Linked DNA regions of Rhinolophus ferrumequinum. The protein of the gene in region 3 interacts with the protein of the main gene of each other region in a pairwise test. Links are inferred from orthologs where the notes say so. Each region holds a gene or a part of one and is shown on either strand. Other genes may lie near its edges.

Region 1 (7,885 bases), about 11 Mb from region 3:
TGGCAGTGACACTAAATGAAATGAGAGATCACAGAACAAAAAAGAAGTGGGGAAAAAAAATCCTTATTGGTATCCTCAGAGTCAACAAGATAATGCATTCAAAAAACAATAAGCTACTATGAAAAAGGAACAGAACAAATACACACTTGGAAATTAACATTTCAATTATGGAAATAAAAATGTTAAATAGGATTGGAAGATAAACTGAAGCCCTCTCCCAGAAATAAGAACAAAATGACACAGGAAGATAAAGACAAGAGATTCAGGGGCTCAAGATATCCATCATCAAACTAACAGGAACTTGGAAAGGAGAAGAGTAAAAGCAGAGAGGAAGAAATTCTCAAGTAAATGATACAAGACACTTTCCCAGAACTGAAGGACAAGGCCCCAGAAACAAAGAGCGTTTGGAATGGGACTCTCCATCCTCTGGCACTCTGGAAATGTCCTAAAACCAAAGAGGACCCTAAAAAGTCACGCGAAAGGAGGAAGGCGACTTGGCAGAAGGTTCTCATTGAAATGAAGAAAGCAAAGATTAAAACATGGAGTCCTGAACTCAGATGTATAATAAAGGAAAATATCAGGATACCTGTGGTGGCATAGAGTACTCAATCCAGATCAGAAAAAGAGAACAGAGGAATCGGGAGGAGGGGGAAGTTTGGAGAGACTTGACTCTATCCTTGAGAATTTGAAACAATTTAAGCAGCCAATAGGAGCAGACAATGCAAAGAAAAAGAAAGGCCAATACAAACAATAGGAAAAACAAATAGCTGTATAAGAAGGGTAAGTGCTACTTGGCTGCCGAGCAAACAACTTTTGCATTGTTACAAACAAAGAGTTAACTGAACACAGTGAATTCAGGGGCTGAAAGAGGTGGAATATGATCTGAAGAGCTAAACAGTATCATAACAGAAAGTCAAAAATGTGTATAATTAATAAAATACCAGCTTATCATTTAGAGCGATGGAAAATTTACTAAAGAAACAAAACGATGTAAAAGGTTGGACAGGCGACTACTACTTCTCATCATAAGTTTTTCATTGACATTTTATTATGTACCTTACTTCAAAATATTAAATATACGTATGTGTTATTTATTTTAAATGTTCACACCCTGGCTCTGTGTATCTTAGGCAAGTCACTTAAGCTCTGTGGACCTCAGTCACCTCATCTGTAAAACAGGACAGTCTCTACCTCACTGGGTGGTTGTGATGAGAGACATGGGAAATGATTAAGTCCCGGCCAACAGCACATGATCCCATAAATAACGACTGTTTTTTAAAAATTAAAACCAATGATGGCAGAACACAACATGAGAAGAACATATTCTGATTGCAACACAAAAGGTAAATGGAGCTGAATATAGAGAATTAATTTTACGGGCAGTTTTGGTGTTTTCTTTTACCACTGCATATTTGTACCCAGGGTGGTCAAAAGCTCCACGTTCATTGATCTAATCATGTACTTTCTGATGTAACCTTCCCTCCCTGAGGACCACTCAACTTTCCCACGTTATGTGTTTCCCAAACTTCCAGTTACAACTCCACCCTTAGAAAGGACTGTCTCCTCCCATCAACTAGTTTACCTTAGTGCTAGTTCTACCAACGCCCTCAGGCCTTGGAGTGCATTCCTCGGGGGTACAGTCAGGAAGAACAGGTAACTCGAAACAAAGAGCAATCACCTGTTTCCTTCCACAGACTCTAACCTGCCCAGGTAGGGCAGGCAAGCTCTCTGTCCTTGGAAGTTGCACTTGTTAACAGTTCTTATTTCTCCAATATGAAGACAATCCCTACCATCTCATCACTGAAAAAATCAGTCCTCTATTAATGTCTCCAATTCACTCACAGTGAGGTGCAATGTACATCGACTTTTTGCAGCCACGGTGGGGTGGGGTGGGTGGAGGGACTGCAAAGCAAAAAACTAAGGCCACATTTCAAAAGGATTACACCACAGAAATAGCAAAAAAAAGTATAGGGGTGAAAGAACCTGAAATGCTCCTTCATCGAGGCCGGGAGGAGAGCTGGATCCGGTCCTCTCCTAGGTCTACGGCAGTCTACTCCTAAAACGGCACCTTAGATCCCTACTTCCCTTTGTGAAACCGTAAGCAAATGAAGAGCACGCTGCTTGTGTTCCTGACTCTCGGGGCTCCATTTCACGTTAGGAACTCAGGGTGCCAACCGCGTCGGAAGTCGGCCTGACAGGAACTACTACACCGCAGGGTCTGTGGGTGCGTGTCCAGTTTTCCCATTTCCCAGAGAAAGGAGAGACCCAGCCTGCCCCTCCTGCAGCTGCAGGGCGGCCCTCGGGACGTCTGCGAGCACCTCTCGCAGGGCTGCGCCCCAAGTTTAAAGGCAGCTGCCGGCGGCCGGGCCTGTCACCCGCACCGTCCTAACCCGCGCACGGCATGACAATATGGGTGGGTGTGGGGGGGGTGCAAGTGCAAAAGAAAATTAATGAAATCAACAGTCTCCCGTGGGAAGAAAACGAGCCTGCGATCGGCCCTGTGACCCGGCCCCCCAGTATCGGGAATGTCGGGGGGACAGCGCCGTGCGCTCCCGGGAGGAGGCGCGGGGGGTCCTGGGGGCCGCAGAAACCGGGGGGCTGACAGGGAAGAGGGGGGCGGCGGGGCCTAGGGACGCTGAGGCCGAGGGGGCGTCCGCAGAGGTTGACAGAACTGAGGGAAGCGGCGGGGGAAGGACGGGTGACGGCAGGGCTCAGGCGGGCGGCGGGGCCCCGGGGCGCTAAGGGGGCTACCGGGCGGGGGTAGTGGGCCGTTGGCGGAACCGGCAGGGCGTCCCGGGAGGGGGCGGCGGGCGCGGCGGCCGGAGGAGGGTGCAGGGAGGAGGGAGGAGGGGAGATCTCGCTCTCGCTCTCGCCCCGCGGGAAGGGGGAGGTGGAGACGCGACCGGCTGCGGGAGCTGCAATTACCGTGTGGGCTGCGGAATTCTCGTGGTGTTTGTCGGGGAGATGCGATAATGGCGTCCGTCCTCGCGAGAGAAGCCGCCGCTCTGCGCAGGCGCCGCGAGTCCCTCCTCGAGGCCCTCTGCCCTGCACTATCTGCGCAGGCTCCCTGGGCGGGGCGCGCCGGGAGCGGAGGAGGGACCAGAGGCAGGGCCTGCCGCTTGAGGCCTCCCGCGCGCGCTTTCGCCCGCGCCGTCGACCGCCGGGCATGCGCACGCGTTGTACTCCAGTGCCACAGTTTGGGCCCCGAGGAGCTCTCACTTCCCCATGGTGTGTTAGGGCTCCTCGTTAACCCTTGAAAAATCGTGTCGGTGGGCCGTTGGAGGACTTTGCATTTTCTTTGAGACTAAATGAATTAAGAATTAGCTCCCCACCAACGACTACATATCCCGGAGGGCCCTGCGCGAACCGCGAGCAGTACATTCTGGGACTCGTAGTCCCGGCCTCTGCGCCTTGCCTGCCGGTACTTGTAGTCTCTCCATACTCCGGTAGCCCGGCCCGCGCCGTGGGCTGCTGGGACTTGTAGTTCAGATGCACTGGATCGCTGCGCCCCGCGTGTGCTGCTGCTTCCGCTCTGGCGGGGTTCCCCCAAAGAATAGGTGGTGCACAAGGGTCCCCAGTGTCATGTGCACAGTCTTGAGTGCACGCTCGTGGGGGAAGACTAAATTATATGTGATATATGTTTTGTATATAATTAATGTTATATATTGCATATAATCCGCGCCTATGTAAATATGAACTATTATATATGAATATAAATATAGTATGAATGTAAATATATTTATAGACCATAAATGCATGCTTGTGGGTACTCCTAGGAAAAAATTCCCAAACTATAGACAGCAATGTTTTTCCTACTTATTGTCATCACCATTGCTTTTCGTGCGTGCTGGGATTACTATTACTTTTCATTTTTCTTCTTTATACTTGCCTCTGTTTTCTGAGTTGTTTACTTTGAGCAAGAATTCCTTTGATCACCCAAACACAAGAGGATGGAGCTATTTTCATTTAGAAAATGAAATGCTTTACCATGAGTTTCCTGCTCATTTCTCTTTTGCCAATGATAAAAACTTGATTCAGGGCAGCAACCAGTTGTGCAACCTTGGGCAACTTTGTTGAGTTAGCCTCTCTTCCAGAGTTAACACTGGGGTTCTGCTGAGGCTGGTTACTGGATTCCTTTACCGAAAAAGTGCCTTAAAGGAATTCCAAAGAACCACAGAAGGTCAGCGCTGGAAAAGATATTGATATGGAAACGAGGTATGTCCTATGTAGAGATGAGAAGTCCAAAGAGATTGGAAAAATTGCTCAGCAAGGTCACAGGGCTGGAAAGAGACGAAAAGCACTGTGTGGAATCCAAAACACCTTGGTCTAGAGTCTACAGTCCGCTCACAGTGGGGAAAAATGATTGCAAAAGCTAACTACAAAAATCCTGAGAGAGGCATGGGGGCAAAAAAGTTCTTCTGTCCCCACCTCAGCCTCAGTTAGAGCCAAATCTAATACTTAACTATGTAAGCAGTCTTAACATTCTGCATCTGACTAGAAAGCAGATAAACGTAGGGTGATATTTTTCATATTATTTCAAAATATTCGAAAGTCCTCACCAGTAGCTCCCTTGCAGGTGTGGCTTTGCCAACACTCCTTCCTGCCCAGGGCTTGCACACTGCTTGGCTCCAAGCAACTGCTTACTGATCAGAAATTAAACCAATCAAAATTATAATTGTGCATATGCTGGAATCATTGACTTCTCTTTTTTGTTTTCAATGTTTCCAATTTACTTATTTTACATTTTGCTGCCCAGGAAGCTCAAATAGAGGAAGGTGTTCAATATTCACATCTCAGTGATTAACCATGGTTTTTTTCAAAAAACATTAAATCGCTTGAAATGGACCAAGACAGCTGTCTACCAATAAAGGGTCACTTCGGGACCACACAGGAGCCTTCTCCTTACCCATCAATTCATAGAAGACTCCAGTGGAAGTCCCCGGAGTTAATTAAGCTGAAGTCACGTTTGGTGGGCGGTTTATTAGACGAGAAGTGCACTCTGATCTGGATGGCACCAGAAATGGGGGACCCCTTAGATGTAGGTATGCAGGGCATTTGCAAAGATCTCAAAGGCCCCTTCTTCAAAACCACGCAATGCCCACTTTAAGCAAAATCTGGAATCCTTCAGAACAGTCCTGTTCTTGAATATGTCAGTAGGACGGAGAAAAGTGAATTATTCATGAAGTCCTTCGTTGTCCAAGAAAGCTTAGAAAATTGAGCTTAGAAAGCTTAGAAAGCTGTTCATAAAAGCAGAGCCATAAGAACAGGCCTGAACTGGGCTTTGAATCTAAGCTCTCTTGTGGCAAGTTGCTGAGGCTTCAAACTCACAGAATATGAGGCCCTGGGAAGGATTCAATGTCGCAGAGTTTCTAAAGGGTTTAGCAGAGGGCCTCACTCAGAAAATGGTAACGTTACTCGTGCTGAGTTACCATGCCTTGGGCCAGGCACATCTTGTTTTAATCCCTATTCTTTATGAAAAACATAAAGTTCAGAGAGATTAAGCAACACACCCAAGGTCACAGCCGTAGCAGTACAAGAACTTTGAGGAGGAAGTTTGTGACATGTGATGGAAAAGGTAATTAGGATGTGGGCCGTGTGGGTTGCAGGTCCTCGTTGGCCAAGGGATGAGTTTTGTCTTGATCCTAAAAATAATGGGAAGCCTTTACAAGGTTAGGGGCAAGGGTAGATATGATCATATTTGTGTTTTCAAAAGTCACTCTGGCTGGAATGTTGGAAAATCAATTGGGGGTGGGGAGGAAAGGTCCTGAGTGGATTTGGGGAGAGCACTTGAGGAAACGATGGCAGGCTTCCAGGCAAGAGACGATGGAGTCCTGAATTAAGGTGATCCTAGTGGAGACCAACATGCAGAGAAGTGGACAGACTCAAAGAGTGAAATCAATAGGACATGAGCATGAATCCAATACTGAGAGCAGGGTAAGGGAAGGAGGGCAGCTCGGATGCCTCATGGGTCTGCAAACATGTAAAACTGGATAGACAGAGTACCGTTCCCTGGGATGGGGAACTCTGAGCACCACTGGCCGCTGCCCACCATTGCTGTGGAGGCTGCCAGGAACAACGCTTCTTTGTTATTGGTCCAGCCAAGGGGGCCTCTTCTGTAATTCTTCCCCCATCCTCCGACACTTTCCTCTACTTCACACAAAGGCCCCCTTTGTGTAGGTTCCTAGCACCTGCTGGGAAAAGATCAGGTTGGGGGTGATCTGGAGTCCTGGAGATAGAGCCCACAAAATAATTCAGGGGAAATGGGAAGAAGGAGCACCCAGCACCCACTATAGTCCCATCTCCCCCTGGCATGAATTCCACTCAGACCTGGGACAGGCCACAGCCATACGTTCTGGGCCATCAAGAGATTTAAAGATTAGGAAGTGATGTCAGCCACAGGGCAGAATAGGGGTCCTCCATCATATCCTCCCTCAGCAGCAATAATTTGGCATCCATCCATGGACAGAAGTACCTTGGTGGGAACTTTGGGATGCCTAGGAGACTGTGAATCCCTGGTGGAACCCCAAATCATAAGGGCCATTTTGAGTCAGCTGCCACCGACTCAAATGGAAGACTCACTAACCTTGGTCTCAGCTACAGACACAGAAACAGACCATCCCCCTGTGGACGCGGCTACAGCTCCATTTGGCCTTGGTCCTGTCACCAGCATCATCCGCCGAGGAGGGATCCAGCAAGAATCAGACCTACACATGCCCCAGATAACAGGCCCAATGTATTTGGTTCTGGCTGTGGACCCTGAAGTAGCTTGGGACCCAACTCTAGCCCTTCTTAGCTGTGGTCCAGGGACAGTCCCAAGCCTCCCAGGGGGAGACACACCGTCCGTAATGTGATACACCACATTAACAAAATAGAAGATAAAAATTACATCATCTCAATAGATGCAAAAAAAAAAAAAGCATTTGACAAATTCAACATCCTTCATAATTAAACCTCTCAATAAATAAGGTACAGAAGGAACAAACTTCAACAAAATAAAGACCATATAACCGACAGCTAACATCATGCTCAATGGTGAAAGGTTGAAAGCTTTTCCTTTAAGTTCAGGATCTTAGTGCCCATTCTTATTCAACATAATAATGGAAGTCCTAGTCAGAACAATTAGGCAAGAGAAAGAAATAAAATGCATGCAAATCAGAAAAAAAGTTAAATTGTCTTTGTTTGCAGGTTACATGATCTTATACATAGAAAATGCTGGTAAAGACTCCATCAAGAAACACTTAGAACTAATAAATGAATTCAGTCAAGTTTCAGGATACAAAATCAACGTGCAAAAAATCAGTTGCATTTCTATGCACTAACAATGAACTATCTGAAAAAGAAATGAAAATCATCCCATTTACAATAGCACCAAAATAATAAAACACAAGAATTAATTTAACCAAGGAGGTGAAAGATCTATACACTGAAAACTTTAAGATGTTGATGAAAGAAATTAAAGAAAACACAATAAATGGAAAGATATACTACCTTTATGGATCAGGAGAATTAATATTGTTAAAATGTTCATACTATCCAAAGCCATTTACAGATTCAATGTAATCTCTATCAAAATTCCAATGGCATTTTCCACAGAAATAGAAAAAAACAATCCTAAAATTCATATGGAACCAGAGAAGACCCCAAATAGTAATCCTGAGAAAAAGGAACAAAGCTGAAGGCATCACACTTTCTGATTTCAAACTATATCACAAAGTTATAGTAATCAAAACAGTATAATACTGGTGTAAAAATGGACCCATAGACCAATGGAACAATGTATAGAGAGCTCAGAAATAAAACCACACGTATTTAGGCAACTAATCTTTGACAAGGGCACCAAGAATATGCAATAGGGAAAGAATAGTCTCGTCAATAAGTGGTGTTG
Region 2 (7,792 bases), on a different chromosome or scaffold from region 3:
TTATACTTTTAAGGTATATTGGATTCCACTTGGTAATACTTTATAATGTTTGCATCAATATTCAAAAGTGAGACTGTTTTTAGTACTACTTTTGCTAGATTTTACCAGCTTCATAAAGAAAACTGTATTGTAGCTTCATAAAGAAAACTGGAAAGCTTTCTTTCTTCCCATGTGAACTAGAACAATTTCATTATCAGGACCTCTTGATAGTGGGAAAAAAATTACTCATGAAATAATGTGGGCTTGGAGCATTTTTTAAGGAGTCGCGCTCTAACTTTCTTAATTTATTTTGACTTTCAAATTTATTACCATGGAGATAACCCAAAGGTACATCTGGGTTTACCTTTTTCATTCCTAATTTTGTGTTTTTGTATTATCCCTTTTCACCTGGATTCAACTAGCAGTTTAGTCTACTGTTTTGGTTTTCCCTTCCAAAGAACCAGCTCTTACATAATTTCTGACTATATTTTTTCCTTTTAATACATTAATATCAGTGTTACTTTTACTCTTCTTTTTTTCCTTAGGTTTATTTTACTGTTTCCTTTTTAATATTCTTAAGTAGAATATTTGATCTATTTTTATTTCTAAGTTATTCAGGATATTAATTTTATTACAAATTTGGCTTTGGCTACAATATATGGATATACATTGATGTCATTATGTTATTTCTTTGATATTATGTAACTGTATTTTCAGTTTCCTCTTTGATACAATAAAGTATCCAGAGTTAATTTTATATTTTTAATTTTTGTAACCTGTTCATTAATCCATTCAGTCTAGAAAGTATTTAGTGTCCTTCTAGTTTGACTGCATCATAGTCAAAGAATGTGTTGTGTTCTAATACAACTTTCTAGAAAATACTGTGATTTGTTTTTTTTCCAGAATTATCATTAATTTCATCTCTAGTCATTTTGTTTTTAAAAAAATAAATTTCACAAATATTTAAAAGTTTTTCCTCACAGCGCATAGTATGGAGTATAAACCAAAACTTATAAATACCTCATTTCATCAAAGATGACACTGATTTTAAGATTCACTATTATGCCATGCTGATTTCAGAAATACTCAAATGTGCATCTTAGAGTCATGAAATACAGCATATTTCACGTCAATTTTCCTTTCACCAAAATCACCTAAAACAATGGCTTTCATAATTATTTTGTTTTTCCAGAATTGTCTTGTCTTTCATACTTGTTACCTTTTACAGAGCAGGGACTCCATGCTTGTCAAGGAATTTGAGAAAGTCAAGTGGCCCCCTTCCATCAGGACTATTTGAATTGGAAGGCAAGGCGTTTCAAAACAGCACATTTAATATTATAATAATTTTACACTTGAAATGTGAAAAATTGTTTTTATAAAATAGATCCTGCCCCTCTTTTGATAAGCATTCTCACTGTGGCATAATGCTTATCAAAAGGCGGGAGGACCTTTTTTTTTTAAGTTGAAAAACATAAATTCTGACCATCAATAGCTAGCTAGCTACCTATCAATTCTCGCACCTTCTTTCAAAGTTCATCAGAATACCTCTTCTCCACTGCCTAAATTTCGTTATTTTAATTTTGCCCAAGCAAATACTCAAGTGAGTGAAATGTAAAAGAAAAATGTGGTCAGAAATAATGCTTCTATAGCATTTCATCTCCACAGAATCGCTCTAGAGCAAGAAGAAAACTTGATTTCTGAAAATAATTTCCAAGCCCATTGTTCCTTTTTTCCTCCTGCAAAGGGCTAAAAGAATGAACAGAAATCCATCTTTTTCACAGAATCAAATCTAAATTACAGTTACTAATGCTCTTAACATTAAAAATTATTTACACTAAGATATAATCTTTATCAGGTTGCGTTCGTCTTCCAACTGTACTTGGAAAATCTAGTCAAAGTTCACTCAGTCTGGTCACCCACCTTCCTGACTGCTTAACCAAATGGATGTAGGGGAAAATATTTTAAATATTACTCTAGCTCTTCCATGGTCACTGACAGAAACAAAAACTTCTAAAAAACGTTGAAGAAATAGGCAACATCAATGGAAAATACACACTTAAAATATAAGGCACAGACCAATGAAATGGATAAATTCTGAGCGCACCTGCCCTGTACCTTACCAACATAACCCTCCACGTAGGCATAAGGTAGTGGCAGGAATCAGTTAGTGTGAAGAAATAAGTCTGGCTCCCCCTCTCCTCAAAATAATATTAAATCCACTCAGGACAGAAAGTGAATGACAAAAGACTGCGATGCCAACCCACTGAAGAGATCCGAGGCAAAAAAATGAACCACAACTATCCTGAAGAGCCAGCCTCACAGTCCAGAACTGGGTCACATTTCCCATACCTGTGCCCACCCCATCCTACCCCACCCCCTTCCAGGCCTAGCTAATGCAAAAATACGAAACTAAAACCCCGAACCTTCCTACCTCGGAGACCGAACCCCCTTCCCCCACCTTTCCCGCTAACAGATCTTCCCCACCTTCCAAACCCGGCCAGGGGGCGGGGAGAGAGGAGTTGCCAGAGAAAGACGCATCCCGCTTCCGGCCGCAGCCGCCTCCCGGGAGACTCCGCGGCACTCGGGACAGGGGCCGGGATCCAGGCCAACGGGAGTCGCAGGCCCCGTCCGCACCGCCCCCCAAGAGCCAGCCCACGGTGAGAAGACGGAAGATCACTTACTAATGGGAGCTCTGCCAAAAGTTCCCTGCCATGGAACACAGCTTGCCCTGATAAAAAAGCACCAGCCGGCGGAGCGGCCCGCGGAGCGACCATAGACCCAGCCCGCCCGGTAACCGCGCTCCTCAATCTGATCGGCTCGGCTCCGCTCCGCGGCGGCGACGGTAAGAGGAAGAGGATGGCACCCAATTCTTCTTGACGCCGGCCGGCAACACTCTACTGTGTAAAGCGGTTCCTATGGATAAAAGTTCCGGCCCGCCCCCGCCGTGGCGGAGGAAGCCGGCTGGGAGGAGACAGCCTGTGGTCGCGCTGAGATAGTGCCTGGGAACTAGGCTCTCGCGAGACCTTCGCGCCAGAGCTGGAGCCCGCGTGGTTTGGTCTACTGGGGGTAGTGCCAATTCGCGAGTGGGCAGGCAGTTGGGAAGCAACCCAGTTCAGGTTTTGTTTTTCCATTTTACACGCTTCCAAAGCGGCACGGTGGCATTGTGTTAAAGGTTTAATGAATTCAATTCTTTCTCCTGTGATTGGAAAGAGAAAGATTATTTTGGCCTCAAGGCACTACCAAAACCTACTGGCACCAAGCCGCATACGTTTTTCATGGAGTTCTTTTGGAGTGAGGCAGAAATATTTAGAGTAACAATGTTTTGTTTTTTTTAATGCCAGAGAACCACCAGTTTTGCAGAACAGCTAAAAGCATTTCTCTATTACATGTATATGTATATACACACATACATATTCACATATATGTACCAAATAGAAACATACAGCCAAAATTGCAATAATTTAATTTTACAAGATGAAATAATTTGTATTTTCCATTTCTGTTATCATTGTGATATTGCAATTATTGTAAAACTTATAATCATTTTTCCAAAGATTAGGCACACTTAAAAGTTACTGATAGGTCAGTGTTCTGAGGTAGCTTGGGACAGTATTTTTCACACTGTGGGTGGAGACCAATTAGGGGGTGGTGAAATTGAGAATGATAAGCATTTTCCTAAATTAAGTTTTAAATTATCAGGTATGTTAGAAATAAGGATATTATTTAAAATTTTTTGATTCTTGGCAGCCGGATGGCTCAGTTGGTTAGAGCGCAAGCTCTCAACAACAAGGTTGTTGGTTCAATTCCTGCGTGGGATGGTGGGCTGTGCCCCATGCAACTAATATTGAAAACTGCGACTGGACTTGGAGCTGAGCTGCACCCTCCACAACTAGATTGAAGGACAACGACTTGGAGCTGATGGGCCCTGGAGCAACACGCTGTTCCCCAATAGTCCCCAATTTTAAAAAAATGTATTTAAATAAAATAAAATTTTTGATTCAGTTACATGTTATATAGGTGCTATCTCAAGATATGAAATGTATTTTTAGTAACTTAACAAAAATATGTCACACGTCACTTCCATAAAGTCCTATAAAGTTTGATGTGGATTAGACTTCTCTCCTTGATGGTTGATCTTCAAGAATGCAGTATGTTTCCATCTTTCAACTACTCTCTCTTGGTTCTTTGCCTCCAGGCTTAAAATCTTTCTAGAGAGAATGCCTAGGACTCTCTCACTGGCTCTTAATCAGCGTCAAGAGACTTAAACCTGAAACAACAATCACTTCTTCTCTTCCCATTGTCCAGAATAGGAACATGCTTCTAACTTAACTGCAAGGGAGGCTGAGAAATGTAGGGGAGCCGGTAGTATATTTGATGAACACTACTGTCTGCTACACTGCAGATCACAGTCAAAAAAAGTTTGAAAGGTAGTAACTTAAGAAACACCAAACCCAAAAGATATATGAAAAAATGCTCAACTTCACTAGCTATTAGGGAAATGCAACTCAAAACCATAATGAGATACCACCTCACACCTGTTAGAATGGCTACTACCAACAAGATAAGTAAAACAAGTGTTGAAGAGGTTGTGGAGAAAAAGGAACCCTCATACACTGGCGGTGGGAATGCAGATTGGTGCAGCCAGTATGGAAAACAGTATGGAGTTTTCTCAAAAAATTAAGAATAGAATTACCCAGCAATCCCTCTTCTGGGTATCTACCCCAAAAGTCCGAAAACATTTATCTATAAAGATACATGTACCTCTCTGTTCATTGCAGCATTATTCACAGTGGCCAAGACATGGAAACTACCAAAGTGTTCTTCAATAAATGATTATTTAATGAAGATGTGGTACATATACACAATGGAATATTACTCGGCCATGAAAAAAGATGAAATACCACCATTTGCGACATGGATGGATCTTGAGATTATTGTGCTAAGCAAAATATGTCAGAAAAATTTGAGAACCATATGATTTCACTCATGTGGCATATAAAACTGAAAGCAACAAACGAACGAGATAAACATACAAACAAAAAAAAACACAGACACAGACAACAGTTTAGTGGTTACCAGAGGGTAGGGGGGGAGGAGATGGTAGAAGAGGGGAAAAGGGACAAAGTGTATGGTGATGGAAGGAGAACTGACTCTGGGTGGTGAACACACAATGCAGTATATAGATGATGTATTATAGAACACTTAAACCTTAAAACCTATATAATTTTACTAACCAATGTCACCTCCAATAAGATTAATAAAGATAAAAAGTAATAAAGAGGTTGGCACTAAAAAAAAAGCAAAGAAAGAAGGAAAGAAAGACCAGGCTCTAGGCCACTAGGCTACTTCATAAAGGTTCAGAATTTCTTTAATTCTCTCAGAGGTTGTCAGCCTGACATCATCCAGAAGATAAGGGTACTGCGACAAATCAGTATTATTAAATGTTTTGTTTTATGTGCCCCCATTACACTATTTCTTTCACTAGACAAACATTGTTTCATGCCTAATTCTGCACTCTTCTTCCCACAAAACTGAGTTCCTTCATCTTGGTATCACCATTCATTGAGGGCATAACACATAGGCACAGCAGGCAATGGTATTTGGGGAGTAGGGTGCTTAAAGAAAAAATGTAACATATGGACATAAAATCAGGTTGAAAAGTAAGTATTTAGAATGCAAAAAGAAATCATAACAAATTACTACAGCCTTGAAGATTCAGGTCCTTCTGTGAACTGTTCTAGGCAATTTAACCAGAAATATTACATAGAAATGCTTCCCACCTGCAACCTGGTTTCTGCTTCCCACCCAGAATTCCAAATGCACAACAGCGCTGGTGCTCCCAGTGGCCACTCAAGTCAGGGGTCTGAAGTTTTGGCGTTACTATTTTTAGACTAAATTGTCACTGAGGGTACTCCAGAAGGCAGGTTGAATTGAATGATTTGAACCAAAAGCTAACTTTATTTAAGGATATCTGGTGGAATACAGCAATGTACAAAAGCTGTTAAAATGCCTAGATATCAACTTATCTGGATGCAAAAGATGATAGGCCATGTAGGTTTGTTTCTTTTTGCTGATAGCTTTTTGTGTTGTTTTTTTTTTTTAACTTTTCTTTATAGTTTTAGGTTTTTTTTTTTTATTGTTTCTCAGTCCTCATACTTGTGTGATTTAAACTTACTGGAATCTATTAATCAATCTTGTGCCTTGTAATTTTTTATTTATCTTATGCTTTTTAAATAAGGATGTGATTAATAAATTCTTGATACAAATGTTGATTCTTCTGTGACAAAAAAATATTTATCCTTTTTCCTTTTTACAATGCTTTCTCCAGCACCACGAATACTATTTCTCAGAGCCTAGAAATTTAGGGGCTTTATCAAGCTCTCTTACCTAGTTAGTGGCAAGAACAGCTAGAATCCATTTCTTCTGATTCCCAGGGCAATGAGCTTTTCACCCAACTGTACAGCTTCAATAGAACTATAACGACTAAACTACTATAGACACATTATTTCAGGTTTGTAGTAGAAGTTTCTCCTCCCAAACACTATTAGTGAAGACCATCTTCTCACTTTTAATTAAATTATTATTGTAATTTGCTGGGGTACTAACAGTCTTCGTTGTGAAAATATCATCTCCTCTATATTCATTCATTATGTCTTCGTTTATTTTAACTCCTGGATACTTTAGTTAAGACGAGTAAACCTCTAACTTATGGTAAAGTGTACTAGTTAGAAATTCAGTCTCTAAACTACACTGATCAAGTTCAACTAATAGCTCTGCCGCTTGCTAGTTGTATAACTGCCTTAGTCAGTTCAGACTTCTATAACAGAATACCATAGTCTGTATGGCTTAAATAACAAACATTTATTTCTCACAGTTCTGGAGACTGGATAGTCCAAGATCAAAGTGCCAGCCCGGGTCCTGGCACCTGGTGATTCGGTTTCTGGTGAGAAACATCTTTCTGGCTTGCAGAAGACTGCCTTCTTGCTGAATTCTCACATGGCAGAGAGAATAAGGACACTAATTCCATCACGGGCGCCCAAGCTTCATGTAAACCTAACTCACAAAGACCCCACCTCCAAATACCATCACATTGGGGATTAAGGCTTCAACAGATGAAGGGAAGGGGGACATACATTCAATCTATACTGGTAACATTAGTCAAAATACTTAGCTATTCTGCACTTCAGTTTCTTCATCTGGAAAACAGGGATAATCATATTTCCTAAGTTATAGGGTTATGGTGAGGTTTAGATAAACCTTAAATGAAATTAGAATAGTGCCTGACATATGGTAAGAGCTCAATAGCTCTTACCTTTTACTTTTCTTTTACTCTTAGCCTATATTATTCAAAACAAGTTTAGATTCTACCGTATGAACTATAAAGATGTCCATTGTCACAGATAAGGAAAATAGTACTACCTTGATACAAAGAAAGCAGTGTGTGTGTTTTCTCTATTTTCTTGCTCCCAACTGGACCATGTTATCTCCCCATTCTGTGTTTACTTCATACTCTCTGCTCATGATAACTTAGTTTGTATGCTTTTCAGCTTTTCTCTATGTCATGAACTTTCAGCTTCACTTCCACCCTTCTACATTCTCTACTTATGTATTTCTTTTGTTTGCTTGTTTTTTTGTATAGATAGAGGTCACACACAAAAAGTACTTGTCTGGGGTTCCACACACCGAGAGGCAGCCCTGATTAGAATTACCGCGGTGGGTTCAGAGTGATGCTCCTTAACAATGACTGCACTTTAGAATTACTTGAGTGCTTCTACAACATTCTATTTCTCTAACTCTATTCAGACCAAATGTC
Region 3 (6,942 bases):
GGTTAGAATGGGTGTGAGACGGAGCTGGGTTGAGAGAATGACTAAGCCCCCCTGAGCTGTCCCAGGAAAGGGAGGAAAGGGGTGGGTTGTGTTGAGCTACGCTGCTCATGCAGTCAAAGCGTCCACAAGCCTTGGAAGGATGACTGGCTCCTGCTGCTCTCTCAGAGGTGCTGGCCAAATATCTAAGCTGTGGGCAGGCGGGTGTAGAGCAGAGATGGAGGGAGAGGCTACAAGACCTGAAACTTCCAGGCACTGTGATCCTTGTAGTCCAGAGGATCCATGGGGTTGTAGGCGAATTTCCAGGTGCCTGTGGGGTCCTTGAATTCCAAGCTGTCCACAGGGCTGTAGGCGCTGTAGCTCTGGCCTGACAAAGATGTGGGGGACTGGGCCAGGGAGGGTCCCACGGAGGGGCCCGAAAGGGGGCTGAGAGCCGGGCCCCCCAACTGGGGCACCATGGGAGAAAGGTAGGGATCCAGGCCACTGAAGTAGGAGCTGGGAGACCCATAGGCTGAGGGGGAAGAGCAGAAAGCAGAGGCTGGGGCGTAGGTCATGGTGTAGGGGGCTGAGGGGAGAGAAGGCCCTGAGGCCACGGGCAAAGGGGACTCTGAGGCCGGACTCCAAATGGACACAGTGGCCACTGCTGCGGTGGGAGAGCCTGAGGGGCCAGCTAGAGGGGGGCTGTAGGAATCTGAGATGCCCAGGGGGTCTGGACAGACATCCGTGGGGGCTCTTGGGGACGTGCCTGCCTTCCTCTTGGCAGGACGAGCCTTGGCCTGTGTCCCTGGAGGCTGCTGCTGCTGTTTCTGCTGCTGCCGCTGCTGCCTACATTTAGCTCTGCGGTTCTTGAACCAAACCTGGGGGGTAAGAGGGGAACGCCGGTGGGTGAGTGGGGAGGAGACCCAGGAGAGCCCCCATGGTGCCCAGAAATGATGTTGTTTATGGGTGAGACACACCAGAGTCACACCGCTCCACTTTGCAATCAGTTATAGGTCACTCCATCCATCCACTTATCCACTAATCCATCCATCTATCTATCCACCCACCTTACTGTCTGTCCACCCATCCACCCACTCATTCATACATACAACCATACATACATACATTCATACAAACACACGTGTCCATATCCATTCATCTAATCATTCACATATACATAAATACATTCATTTATCTAATACATACGTAAATCATATATAAATATACACATACAGTTGTACACACACACAGACACACACACACATATTTAACCATCCAGTCATGAGTACATATATGCAATCATACAAGCAAACACATACACATTGGTACATGAATCATACATACATCCAGTCATACAAATATCTAATCATACAAATACACACACATATACACATTCATCCATTCAATCAGTTAATAAACATGCATTAACCGTCTTCTACTGCTCTGGGGATATACATCAGTGGAGCTGACATTCTACTTGAGAGAGACAGATTATAAACAGTAAGTAAAGCACATAATATTTTAGAAGGTGATAAATACTACGGAAGAACCGATTGAGCAGGAAAGAGGGAGCAGTAGAGTTGGGGGATGTGGGGAAAGATTGCAACTTTAAATTCGACTGCCGGTGGAGGCCTCAATGACTTGATTGGTGGGTAAAGACTTGAACAAGGTGATGGGGAATAAACGTTCCAGGCAGAGAGAACAGAGAGTGCAAAGGTCCTGAGGCAGGAGTGTGCTTGGTGGGCATGTTAGAGGAAAACCGAGGGGCCAGTTGGCTGGAGTGGAGCGAGAAGGGTAGGAACACTGAGATGAGGCCAGTGAAATAATGGGGGTAAAGGATTATTCTGGCCTTTCATGACTGTGGCTGCTACTCTGTGGCTTCTTTCTCCTCCCATCACTCTGGGCCCCAAGAAGGGCCGGAACATCCCACCTGAACCCTGGACTCAGGCAGGTTAATCTTCAGGGCCACCTCCTCACGGGCATACACATCCGGGTACTGGGTCTTGGCAAACAGAGCCTCCAGTTCCTCTAGCTGGCTCCGGGTGAAGGTGGTCCGCTCCCGCCGCTGCTTTCTCGGGGCGCCTGGGTGGGGAAAAGGAAAACGGGACCCTTAGGTGACCTGGCTCCATTCTCTTCATCTGCTGGTGTGAGGCCCTGAGGGTGTGTGGGACGCTCAGAAACCCCTTCTGTGTGTTCATGTGCCCTACCCTTCTGGACCTTACTCCGCCTCCCTGGGTATGGGGTCCCTTTTTGCCTGTCATTTTGGGGCTCATGCCTCACCCCGAGGACACCTGGCTTTAGCCATGTAAGGAGGTGTATGAATTTGTTTTTTGGTCCCTTTCTAATTTCTTAGACACTAAAACATGACACTGGATATTCAACCATTTCTAGCCTATACAACTGGCAGATGCATAATGTTCAACTTAATGAAAAAACAAAACAAACACCAAACAGCTAAATAATAATGCCACCAAAAATACAAAGAGAGCTCACTTCTCTTAGAAATAAAGCATTTCTGGGCCGGATGGCTCAGTTTGTTAGAGCATGAGCTCTCAACAACAAGGTTGCTGGCCTGCAACTAAAGATTGAAAACGGCGCCTGGACTTGGAGCTGAGCTGCGTCCTCCACAACTAGATTGAAGGGCACCGACTTGGAGCTGATGGGCCCTGGAGAAACAAACTGTTCCCAATATTGCCCAATAAAATTTATTTTTAAAAAAAGAAATAAAGCATTTCTAACAGATGGAAATTCCTCTGGTTCCTCTTCCAGATCACTTCCCTCTCCTTCACTCCTGATGGAAACACTATCCTAAATTTCTTTGAATGTCTGTATACTTTCCTGAATCCCTAAGTAGTGTTTTGCATGGAGTAGTGTTTTGCATTTGCATATGACCCTGATGTCACCTCTGTAAGTGCCCGTCTTTTTCCTGAGGGCAAGGGACTCCAGAAGCCCCCAGTAGATGGGGGCCAGTCTGGGATGGCAGGGACGACTGTACTCACTGGGGTAGGAAACAGCTTGGTGCATCAAATCCACACTGGAGCCACTCAGAGCCAAGGCATTGACGGAATAGTGGGGCCCCGGGTTCATATACGCCATCATGGTCTTCCTGGACGCTGGTGCCCAGGTCAGTGGGCCTGCAAGAGAAGGGGTGCGGGGCTCAAACACTCCCAGTTACCGGATGGTGACAGGCAGGCTTAGGATCAAATCCTGCCTCAGTCTCTTCTTAGCTATGGGACCTTGGGCAATTTCTCTCTCCGCTTCGTGCCTCAGTTTCCCCACCTATAATAAATGGCCCGCTGCTTAGGGTCCTCAAAGCTTCACTGAGACGCTGTCCGTTAAGCAGAGCTGAGGCTGTAATGGACATCTTAAATAGAAGCTCTACTTCCTGCTCTGTCCTTTAAAAAATCTGATCCTGCCATTTCCCTCTCCAAAATCTTTTCTTTCTGTGACCCGGGAAAAGATGTTCAACCTCACGCAGAATCACAGAGAGTAGAGTGAGCAGCGGTCCCCGGTCTGACTGAAACAGAAGCTGTTTTAAAGATGTGGGGCTTCCGGGTGAAACCTGGGAGAGTCCCTGACAAACCAGGCTGGTGGCTCACCCTAATTGTATTAAAACGTCAGCAAGCGATGATCTGCCACGACCATTTTTGACCCATCGGGTTGTATGTATGTACTAGACGGATGGATACGGTTATGTGTGTATAAATGATTAGATGAATGGATGTAGGGATGGATACATGTGTGTTTGTAATGACTATGTGTATGAACAATTAATGGGGAAATAACTGTATTTCTGTTCCTTGAATTCATCTCTGAAATAGCTGGTTTCCAATAACTTAAATCAATCTTTGACCTGTTTATTACGTATGTGTCTTAGAGTCAGGATTTAAAATATTTTAAAATTACACTTTGACAATAAGGGTGTGTGTGAGGGTGTATGTGTGTAGTAGAGGTCATATACTACCAAATTATATGTAATAGTAACTATATAACATATACGTGTACAATATATATTATATATAGTCAAAGAAAAAATATGGTGCTGAGCAGTATGTATAGCATGTTACCATTTGTGATTTTTAAAACAAGGCAACGACAATAATAATATTATTATTATTATAGATGCATGTCTATGCATTGAAAATTTCCAGGAAGGACACAAGATAGGGTAAAAGTGGCTGCCTTGGGAGGTGTGCTATATCCATACATTATTTTTGCAGTTTGGGTTACTTTTTAACCATATATATGTGTCACCTTTTCAAAAACAAAATATAAACTCTAAAAAGAAAAGAAAAAGACATGAGAACATTTCCATGGCCCCTATCCGCTATTGCCCTCTTTAAGATGTCTCAGAAAACCTTGCAGCCTCTCTGGACACACACAAGCTGTTCCCTGGGCCAGAAATGCCTCTCCCCAGTTCAAAACCCCCTCTCACCAGCTAACCCCTTTCCTCACCCACGATTTCAGCTCAAACATCACTTCCCAAGGAAGCTGTCCCACACTCTCAGCTGGATCTCTCTCTCTCTCTCTCTCTCTCACACACACACACACACACATTTTCTCTCTCCTGTTCTTCAAGACCTTGCATGTATTAAATATGACACATTTTAACTTTGTTTACCTGTCTCCCCCAGCTCTGTCAGAGGAGTGCAAGGACTAGGTGTATTTCCATCCCTGCTCTGTCCCCAGCACCAATAAATATTTGAAAAGTAAGTAAATGAATAAAAAGTAGACGATATGTATTTCAGCTCCTACTCCTTTCTTCTCCCACTGCCCCATCCTTCTCATCTCTCACCTGAGAGACTTCTATTTATTATAAATTAAGGACCTACTGTCCATTCTGTAAATATTTTTCAAAGGTCCACCATGCTCTAGGAACTAGGGATGTGGCAAGAAATAAGACACGCAGCATCACTGCTCTCATGAGAGTGAACTTCCAGATTTGAGTCAGAAAAACAGACAGTGAACAAAGAAGTAGATGTTTTAGAAAATCAAAATGCTTTCAGAGAATTTCAAGAATTCCGGGAAAAATTAAATGGAAGAATATAATGACGAGGTTTGGAGTGAGGGTGACACATCTAATTCCGATAAAAGAACAGGGAAGAGCTCTCAGTAAGGAGGTGACCCTGGAGCTGCCAAGTTTCCTAGGCGTGGGAAGATCTCAAGGTCGAGGCTTTTCCAGGCAAAGGGAACAGCAGGTGCAAAGGCCTGGAGACTGGAATAGATTTTTCTTGTTGGAGGAGAAACAAGGTGTCCAGTGTGACTGGAGCAGAATGATCAAGGGGGAAAGTGGACTAAGATTATGCAGGACCTGATGGGAAGGTCACTGGGGGTCTCAGTGCTGATAATAATAAAAACAAAAACAACATTAAGTCCTAAGAATCTATTGGTGTCCTAAGCAGGACCCAATAATCTTCACCCTGGTCGTCACACCCTTGACTTGTCCTTCGCACTGAGCAGGGCTGACGTGTGCAACCAATAGGATATCGCAGAAATGACCCCATGACTTCCGATTCTGGCTCTCCTTCTGGAAGATGCTCGAGCAGTCCTATGGAGAAGTCTATGTGGTGAGACACTGAGGTCTCCTGCCAACAGCCATGGAGATGAGCCCCCCAGTCAAGCCTGCAAACGACTGCAGCTCTGGGCGACCTCTGAATCCAGCAGCAGACTCTGAGCCAGAATCACGCAGCGAGGCTACTCCTGGATTCCTGTCCCTCAGAAATCGTATGACATCGTACATGTTTACTGTTTCACATTTACCGTGAGGTTTGGGGACGACTTGTTACACAGCCATAGATAACTCATACACAAGCCTTTTCTATGCAGGATACCACTGAGTCCTCAGCACAACCAAGGGAGGTAGAGACTGCATTGCTATGATGCAGATGGGAACATCTTCAGGCTCAAGTGCCATGACTTGCCCAGGGTCACACACAGGCTGTGGTTGGGGACCCAGGATTCCTACCCTGGAGAATTCCTGAAGGCCCTGTCCTCCCAGTCCCCATCCTGGATTCCCTCTGTCCTCTCCCTCTTCTCCAGTTCCATCACAACTGCTAGACAGAGTAGAAACAAGCAGAACTGTGAACCTGTCCTGCTAGGGGCAATTTGCAGGACTTGGAGCAAAAGCATCGACTTCTGATGTCTTCACCATCGAATCCACACCAGGTTATCCCACTAAGTGGCTGGCCTTTGGGAAAGCCTAAATTTCTCTCACTGGGTGATCCCATCCTACAGGTAGGGAATCTGAGCCTCTGGGGGAGGCAGGTATTCACTCAAGATCAAGCAGCCGATAATGATAATGACCTCTAGGACGGAGGGTTTGCCAACTCCTCAGACACCTGATAAGAGCTTCATGGACAAGATGTCAGCAAAGAATAATAACAACAAAAATAAGATCAGACACCTGGTGGAAAGCTTTCTCTGGGTTTGGCAGCAAGCTGAGGACCTCAGGATTTCTTCCCTCGACAGACACTCAGCCGAAGGCTTTGTGTGTCTGATCTCAGGAGCACAGACAACACCTATTGTTGTTGACCTACTATATTGACCTTCTGTTGGTTCACTCGGCAGCCCTATTATCCTGCTGAGTGAATGTCGAGGCAATGGTGCTTCATGATCCCAAAGAGTGGGACGAGGGAGACCACTGTCCCTGCCTTGGGAATCAACCTGTGGGGCCATAGGCTGGTGCTCGGGGCTCTTGGGGTTCAGCAGCCGCTGGGTCCAGGTTCCCACCTGAGCAGGTGCTCTGACAGGTGAGCCTGAAGGCTGGCGCACACCTTGTGGATACTCATGGAGATCATCCATCCTACAGGTGGGGAAACTGAGCCTGAGGGGAGGGGAGGAAGTTACCTGCCCCAGGTCAGGCAGCTGATAATCCAGTGAAAACTTCCTACAAGGTAGGTCCTGTTATCATCCCACTTCACAGAGGAGGAAACGAAGGCTCCGAGAAGTAGAGTCCCCCGTCCTGTA

Evidence for each region. The genes of interacting proteins can lie anywhere in the genome.
Region 1: the proteins of CRX (region 3) and BANP interact in binary tests that used the Homo sapiens proteins (3 or more experiments, as listed by UniProt). The two-hybrid records come from large-scale screens. The link is inferred for Rhinolophus ferrumequinum from reciprocal best matches to the Homo sapiens genes CRX and BANP.
Region 2: the proteins of CRX (region 3) and CCNC interact in binary tests that used the Homo sapiens proteins (3 or more experiments, as listed by UniProt). The two-hybrid records come from large-scale screens. The link is inferred for Rhinolophus ferrumequinum from reciprocal best matches to the Homo sapiens genes CRX and CCNC.

Annotation. Positions count from the first base shown.
Region 1 is NC_046298.1:32,663,183-32,671,067, reverse strand, and holds the start of BANP (protein BANP), read right to left. Parts: upstream 3,032-7,885; 5' UTR 2,926-3,031; intron 1-2,925. UniProt on the Homo sapiens protein: Controls V(D)J recombination during T-cell development by repressing T-cell receptor (TCR) beta enhancer function. Binds to scaffold/matrix attachment region beta (S/MARbeta), an ATC-rich DNA sequence located upstream of the TCR beta enhancer.
Region 2 is NC_046286.1:54,286,898-54,294,689, forward strand, and holds the start of CCNC (cyclin-C), read right to left. Parts: upstream 3,032-7,792; 5' UTR 2,693-3,031; coding exon 2,661-2,692; intron 1-2,660. UniProt on the Homo sapiens protein: Component of the Mediator complex, a coactivator involved in regulated gene transcription of nearly all RNA polymerase II-dependent genes.
Region 3 is NC_046298.1:43,662,149-43,669,090, forward strand, and holds CRX (cone-rod homeobox protein), read right to left. Parts: upstream 3,076-6,942; coding exon 2,976-3,075; intron 2,059-2,975; coding exon 1,907-2,058; intron 855-1,906; coding exon 228-854; downstream 1-227. UniProt on the Homo sapiens protein: Transcription factor that binds and transactivates the sequence 5'-TAATC[CA]-3' which is found upstream of several photoreceptor-specific genes, including the opsin genes.